2 linked regions of the Caenorhabditis elegans genome follow. The protein of the gene in region 2 purifies or fractionates together with the protein of the main gene of each other region. This does not show direct contact. Each region holds a gene or a part of one and is shown on either strand. Other genes may lie near its edges. The genes, in order: ruvb-2 and ZK402.5.

Region 1 (3,928 bases), on a different chromosome or scaffold from region 2:
TTTGACGGCAAAACCGGAAATTGAAACGTTTTTGATAAGTTTCTCGGATTTCACCAATTTTTTAAAGCATTTTTCGTCATTTTTTTCAAGTTTCCAGTTTTTCTTAGTGATTTTTATGCAGACTGATAAAATAAAATTCAGTCAAATAAAAAAAACCTCATTCAGCTCAAAAAACCACTAAAACATCGGAAAAATGCCTAAATTTTGGCGAAATCTGCGAAGCTGATCGAAAAACGTTTGAATTCACGGTTTTGTCGCCATTTTCCTAACAAGACCCATGGATCGGGGACAGAGCGTTTCCAATTGCCGGTGGAGCGTTTTTAAAAGATATATCTCACTTGACTCCTTCTTCATCACATCGAATTGACAAAATCTTTGCTGTATCTTCTTTAGTATATGGGATCGCGTTGATGATGAGCATACGATCAAGGAAATCAGATGGGATGCCATGAGCAGATTCGACATCTGTTCCACGCACTTTTTCGATCAATCTAAAGATATTTAATTAAAAACTCAATATTAAAAAAAATATATTTGCAAACCTGTTGGTGGCCATGATAATCAAGGGACTGAGTTCGCCTTCGATGGCTCTGTTGAGGAACGAAAAGCATTCGATATCAAGCATATGAGCTTCATCAATAAACAATACTCCTGGTACAAACTTTGCTTTTCCCTCTTCTCTCCACTCCAAAACCTTCTTATTAATCTGATCTCTCACTTCTGCTTTGATCTCTCCAGTGTCTCCTGAGAAGAGTGCCACGTATCCTTGGGTACGAGAATTGATGACGTCAATGTCGTGAAGACAAACTGTGTGAACAGTTTCACGTCTCTTTTGAATTTCTCCATCTGGACACTGAACAAGCTTCACTTTTGGACCCATTGCGTCATAGTCGTGGGAACGGTTGAATGAACGGCCAAGTCGAGTAACACGTCCTAAAAACGATAATTTTTCAGTTTTTTGATTAAATAAAATTCTCACCAGAAGCCTTATCAACTTGAATAACATCACCGGGCATCACTTTCTCTTTCAGACACGCATCAACCATTTTTGATCCAAGATCGTAGATAGTTTCCATATCAGTTGTACGCATTGTGAGTTTTCCGACCTTTGGTCCCATTCCATTTGCTGACCGATCAACTTCCAACGAGATCACTTCTCCTTCCAAAACTTCAGTTTCTTCTTTAATCTGAATTCCCAGAGCACGTCGAAAAGCTTGAGTAAGTGCCTCTGTTTTGTTGATTTCGTTTGAATAAATCTGAAATTTAAAAAAGATATTTATTAATCTGAAAAAAAACATTAGACTAACCTCTGAAGCGACAATACTGACAAATGGGGTGTCCTCACCAAGTTCTTTGGAAATTGCGATGGCGATAGCAGTCTTTCCAGCTCCAGGCTCTCCTGTCACAAGAAGAGCACGTCCGGCAATTTTTCCCTCCTAAAAAATATAGTAGCAATTTTAGTTTTGAATTTTTGTGCAGAAAACATTACCTGAATCATTTTGACAATAAGTCCTGCAGCTTGTCTAGCGGCAACCTGGCCGACCATTCCTCCAGACACATATTCAGCTTCTAAACGATCATTAAGACCTAGACCAGTAATATGTGAATGTACGGAGGTGCGTTCAACCTGGAAAATATACTGTAATGCAATTGAACCTAGATTTTATTAGAAAATATGCTAAATTGAACACAAAAATTGAATATATGAGCAACAAAATACCTTTACAATATCTTTCACATTAATTCCGTCCAATGTCGCCATTTTGATGTCTGAAATTGAAATATAAAGCTGAAAATTTGCTGAAATTCGGAAAAAGTGAACCTAAAATTCGAAAATCGCGCGCACGAAACGCGCCAACCACAGAAAAAGCGTCAATCAAGGGGCACGAGAAGTGCGTCAACTCGCACTTTCTGCGTCTCACTCTCTAATTATATAGCAACGTGATCTGGAGTTGGATAAATTAATTTTAAAAAAATTTATAAATTAAGCATTTAAAGTTATTTTGGTCGGTCAAGTTTTTGAAAGTGACTGGATATTAAAGAAAATTAATTTAATCTTTATGAGCCTTGTAAAATGTTTTCAAATTTGATCAATCGAGCATAAATAAATGTATTTATTTTATCAATTAAAAAAATCAGAACTTATAAAATCTTATGTATAAAACCAATTATAAAAAAGATAAATATAGAAAAAAAGCGCAATTGAATACTTAGATGCTCTTTTTTTACCAGAATGTTCAAGTTCGATTGCCGGGATCATTTCTGAAGAAATTAATTAAAATGCCAAAAGAAATCAATCAAAACCTTTTTTCCCAATAATTCAAAGATAAAATTTGCTCAATGTGAATAAGGAATAGCATGCTGTAATTGCCACAGTGATAACAAGAGCCCAATCAATAAATCTTCTTGAATTCGAATATTTGCTATAGATCACAATCTCATCATTCGGATCATCATTCTTACAAAGAAGTGGTACATCAACCAGTGAATACTCTAAAGATTTATGAATAGGTACAATGTTAGCCATTTGGAAGAGAAATGAGGGCGACGATGAGGCTGTATGCGGGGTTTTCAAAGCATATGCTTAGAAGCGAAGATTGCTATCAAGCCTTTGCCTTGTCTTCTCGCTTACACGTGGCAAGTCTTTTTTCTGGCTAGGAAATACGATTTTAGAGAATTAAATCCGAGGCGGTGGAACGTTTTGGTAGAAATCCTGCATATCCTGAATTCAAACTTTCGGAAAGTGCTGTAGCAGTCGATTCCATGATTCTATCGTAACCTACTTATAAGTTTTCATTTTCAGAAACTAATTTTCAAAAACTATCACAGAAATTTAACAGATACGCTGTACATTCGAAAAGAGCTCTATATCCCACATATTCTCTATTAGTGCGGCACCTCAACCGCTCTATTTTAATAGCGTATATGTAACTCGCACGCTTTTGAAGATATCGAAAAATGAAAAACATAGAAAAAGAAAAAGATTTAACAAAGATGTTCTTAGTTGAAATTTTTGGCTTAAATCCGAGATATAAGCTGTCAAAGTTGAGCAATTGGGGGTGCCGAACTAATAGAGAATATACGGTATCAAAAATATTAAGAAGCAAATCATTTCAATTTTACTATACACATAAAAATAACCCAACAACAAAAAAATCGTTTATTTCTTCAAAGGTCAAAATGAAAATTAGTCACAAAAATTATAAACTCTCATTGCAATTCACACAAAACAACATTAGACACTGTTTAAATGTAAGTCTGTTCTTGAGAATACATAAATCAGAAACAATAATACCAGAAATAAAGAGAGCACATAATTCAAATGACGATGAAGTTGAACTTTCATCAAATAGTAAAACTTAATCGGAGTGAATTGAAGAATCAATAGGAAGATAAATGAAGTCCTGAATGACGCAGTGGATTTGTGAAAGAATAGATTCATATCTGTTGAAACAGACGGAGATGGCATTCAAGCCATTATGTTTAATTAATTCAGTCAAACTGTTCACAAAGTTTTGAAGAAATGTGTGAAAGATCAGAATAACGTGGTTTCAGAAAAATGGATATCTTTTAAAGTTGCGATACTGTATATTATCTATGAGTACTATTATACATTTAAAGTTTCCTTTATACTGTTAAGATTACTAATTTTAACTTACAAGACATGTATGCGTTTAAATTTTGAATAAAAAATCATGAAAACTGCAAATTAAATATATAATTATTTGGATGTAACTTGTTTTTAAATTTTGGAGCCCTCAGAATTTTCCAGATGCTGAAGGTACTCTGTGGTATTTCTAAAATGTTTCAGCACTTATAAAGGTTAATTTTGGTAATTTTTATGTTAATTGTTTTTCGTCTCTGGTGCAATCTGTAGATGACACTGGTTTTGCGTCAACTGTATCAAATATTTCTGTAAAAGTTCAAT
Region 2 (3,928 bases):
TTCAGAAAAAAATGGAAATTGTAATTTATAACTTGAATGGCGAGGAGACCAGACACGGTGGCACTTGAATGGTGACTTGAATGGCAAGGAGACCAGAAGCATTTATTCTGTCCTGTAAACGGTAGGGTAAGGTAAAAAAAGACTAAGAAAAAAAACTCACCATACTCTAATGAGTCCTTCAATCTCATCCAGGGCCTCGAGATTGAGAATTATTTTGCGTAATTCTCTGTTCTCCTGACGAAGAAAACGATATAGATTTGAAAAAAATCGGTGCATGAACGCGGTTTGAGTGGCAGGTGCGAAATTTAGCTCCCTGGCTGGGGGTGGGAAATTTAGCTCCACATACTACTGAAAGTCGTCCGAAACTTCTCCAGCAAGCCCAAGCATCACTCGGACACGGCTTTCAATACTGTAATTGTCCAGTTGATCCATGTTTGGCGCAAGCTTTTTATGGAATCTAAATCTAAATTTATTAAAGAGAACCAGGTATAATATTCTCACTTTCGATAATAGGCTCCATCCGAACATCTGGCATTTTCTTTTTTACCGAACTCCATGAAAACTTTTGTTGCCACCAGTGGCTCATTGGCTTCTTTCGTCTTTTCAACAAGAAACGTCATCAATCTTACGTCATCGGCGGAGAGCATGATCTTCGTTGACCTCTTTCGTGCTGCCTTAGAAGATTTACTGTGGATTCTTTCCAACGTGAGTTTTCCGTCGCGTGACTTATAATTGCAGATTCGCATTTTCTTGTCAATCTTAACAGTGCCAGTCGATTTGATCCTGCAACAAACTAAATTCATAAATCTGAAGGTAACATCTCTCCTCACAATGTCATGAACTTGTCCGACACTTTTGCCGACAAGGCAAACGTCACTTGAATGCGTGACACGACACTGTATTCGTTTTTTTCGTTTTATGTTCCGACCCCTACAATACTTTAATACGAATCCTTAAGCATCGTAATTTATTTTCGTTTTTTTTTTTTTGGTTTTTCAAAAATTTCAATTTTTGTTTTTTGGTCCAAACTTTTTTTGGTCCCAGTCCTGTGGCCAACTCTACCTCGGGACAACATAATAGGGGCAACGTTTTTCAATCTCTAAAATAATTTTTGTATAGTTTTATTTGCGCGCATTTGAAAAATCTCATGGGTACGCAAATGAAAAACGCGATTTCAAGATCAAATATATAATCAGGGATTTTTTTAATTTGTTCACATAGATGTTCGGAATCAGGGGAAAATTTGGAGTTATTTAAAAATATTTCCTAGATTTCGGTACCCCACCTTTAATACCTACAGTTGTGACGTAATTTTTCAACACTTTTTAATTTTCCGACACTATTTGAATAACCCCATTCAAAGTTGTATTATTCAAGTCACATGTATTCCGAGAACTTCCTAAATTACAATATATTCGAAATATTATTCATATTGGTAAATATTGATGGATGGATTCCTTTAGTCGACAACATATTGTCACCCCACCATAAAACCCTCAAACATGTTGTCACCGTCTAGATAGGTACGTAGAAAAGAATGACTCACTGTGTTCATATAACCTTGGCGTTAGCAGCTGCACAGCAACATTCTACATTTCCAATCATTCTTTGTTTTACTTGGGTTACTGGTGGTGACCCTCTTCTATTCTTCTAGTTTTCTATATGAACCTTTTCTAATGTTATTCCTATTTTTACTTTAGTAATATTAATTGGTAGAAAAGTAAGTTTTTTTTTGAATTTGTTTCAACAGGTAAGTGGGAATTTTATTTCAAAATATGCAATTTGTTGCTAAATTTTGAGAAATTTATTAAATTGGAAAACTGATAACACTCTTGGTTATCACTTTATTTGAATTTTCGGGCTTTTCTTCTCAAATTTTTTTAATTTTTAAAAGTAGGTGTTTGTCATTGGTGAAAATTATTTAAAACCGCTGAGATAGTGCTATACTCTTTAAATTCTATTATGAAACATTAAAATTTTTCAAATATTGCTTATTAACTTTGATATAAGGTGGATTGATTATTTTAAGTTTAAAATACTGTGTAGGAATACTCAAAGAGTTTAAGAAAAGCATTCAAAAATGCTGTGGAGTAGCGCCAGTGGGAAAAGTGCTAAAACTATTAGAAAACTATTAATATGATGCCAAAATGACCAAATATCACAACAAAACTTTTTAAAATTTTTTTGAAATTTTTTATTTACTGTCAAAAAATGACGATTGACAACTCATTTTTTGCCACTCATAATTCTGGAAGTCGACCAAAAATTTTTTTAAAACTTAAACTTTTTATATTGTAATTTTGTTTCAATTATTCGTATTAAAGTATTGTAGGGGTCGGAACATAAAACGAAAAAAACGAATACAGTGTCGTGTCACGCATTCAAGTGACGTTTGCCTTGTCGGCAAAAGTGTCGGACAAGTTCATGACATTGTGAGGAGAGATGTTACCTTCAGATTTATGAATTTAGTTTGTTGCAGGATCAAATCGACTGGCACTGTTAAGATTGACAAGAAAATGCGAATCTGCAATTATAAGTCACGCGACGGAAAACTCACGTTGGAAAGAATCCACAGTAAATCTTCTAAGGCAGCACGAAAGAGGTCAACGAAGATCATGCTCTCCGCCGATGACGTAAGATTGATGACGTTTCTTGTTGAAAAGACGAAAGAAGCCAATGAGCCACTGGTGGCAACAAAAGTTTTCATGGAGTTCGGTAAAAAAGAAAATGCCAGATGTTCGGATGGAGCCTATTATCGAAAGTGAGAATATTATACCTGGTTCTCTTTAATAAATTTAGATTTAGATTCCATAAAAAGCTTGCGCCAAACATGGATCAACTGGACAATTACAGTATTGAAAGCCGTCTCCGAGTGATGCTTGGGCTTGTTGGAGAAGTTTCGGACGACTTTCTGACACAGTAAAAAATTTTAAAAAGGTTTTTGAGTTAACGAATAGTGATTTACAGAGTTCAAACGGAGGGAATTGTCGTGCTCAATGATGGCAAACGAATTTGCGAGTATGCATCACGTGATGGAAAGCTGAAGTTGGAGGCGGACCACAGTCATTCGGCAAGAATGAAAAGAACATCTGCATATCACCGAAAGGCTGGTCGACACGTGCACATGGTCATGAATGCAAGTCAGACGACGAACCAAGCCGAGAGCGACGAAGATGGCGTAGATTCGGCGACTTCTCTTCCTAGATCTCCGAAAAGAGCGAGAACTGAAATGTATATCCTGTCAATTTCATATTACGCAGTATTTTATTTGATTATTTTCAGGAGCTCGAGTGACGACGACGATGATCTGGAGATTATTGAAACTGTGGACGGATATCCGAAGCCTGAGCCAGTTGATTTCGATTTTGAAGAACTCCTCAATAGAGATTCAACCTATAATTTGCTCATCGATCATTCGCAAGAATATAAAGAAGTGATGATGGAAGAGAACAATCAGCCAACTATTTATGTGAAATCTCTTCAATTGGACAGTGACGACGATGAGGTGCAATACATCGGAGCGATGAAGGGACAGCCGAAGCCTGAACCAATCTTCGAAGGATTTGCACCACATAATTCGAATAGCGATCATGTGCAAGAAGAACAAAAAACTGGTGTTCCACGCTTCGATCGTCAACAAATCAGTCTTTCCGCGAATACTGGAGCCACTTCAGATGAACCCATTAATATGTCTGAATTCCTGAAACAACTGACCCAGTTCATTTGCTTTCTCAAAAGTAGGGAACTCGAGGAGCTCAAGCAACAAATCAAAAAGTCAATTGGAACTAATGTTGATAAGGTTTACAGTTCTCATGGAAAAAAAATTATTTTGAAAATTCGATTTTCAGAAAATCCTATTTGCCGAGCTTCGTGGAGTTTTCGAGGCATTCCTCATCACGATCAATCGAAAAATCAAAGCAACCGCTTG

The links.
Region 1: the proteins of ZK402.5 (region 2) and ruvb-2 fractionate together in Caenorhabditis elegans (co-fractionation; one large-scale study listed by BioGRID). This does not show direct contact.

The regions. Positions count from the first base shown.
Region 1 is NC_003282.8:6,917,637-6,921,564, forward strand, and holds the start of ruvb-2 (RuvB-like 2), read right to left. Parts: upstream 1,771-3,928; 5' UTR 1,763-1,770; coding exon 1,721-1,762; intron 1,628-1,720; coding exon 1,490-1,627; intron 1,437-1,489; coding exon 1,308-1,436; intron 1,257-1,307; coding exon 980-1,256; intron 934-979; coding exon 543-933; intron 492-542; coding exon 339-491; intron 1-338. Other genes in the region: T22D1.18 (Transposase), read right to left, coding at 2,321-2,527. UniProt on the Caenorhabditis elegans protein: Possesses single-stranded DNA-stimulated ATPase and ATP-dependent DNA helicase (5' to 3') activity suggesting a role in nuclear processes such as recombination and transcription.
Region 2 is NC_003284.9:1,399,035-1,402,962, reverse strand, and holds the start of ZK402.5 (SPK domain-containing protein), read left to right. Parts: upstream 1-1,603; 5' UTR 1,604-1,720; intron 1,721-2,332; 5' UTR 2,333-2,424; coding exon 2,425-2,432; intron 2,433-2,479; coding exon 2,480-2,761; intron 2,762-2,805; coding exon 2,806-2,919; intron 2,920-2,967; coding exon 2,968-3,231; intron 3,232-3,282; coding exon 3,283-3,799; intron 3,800-3,848; coding exon 3,849-3,928.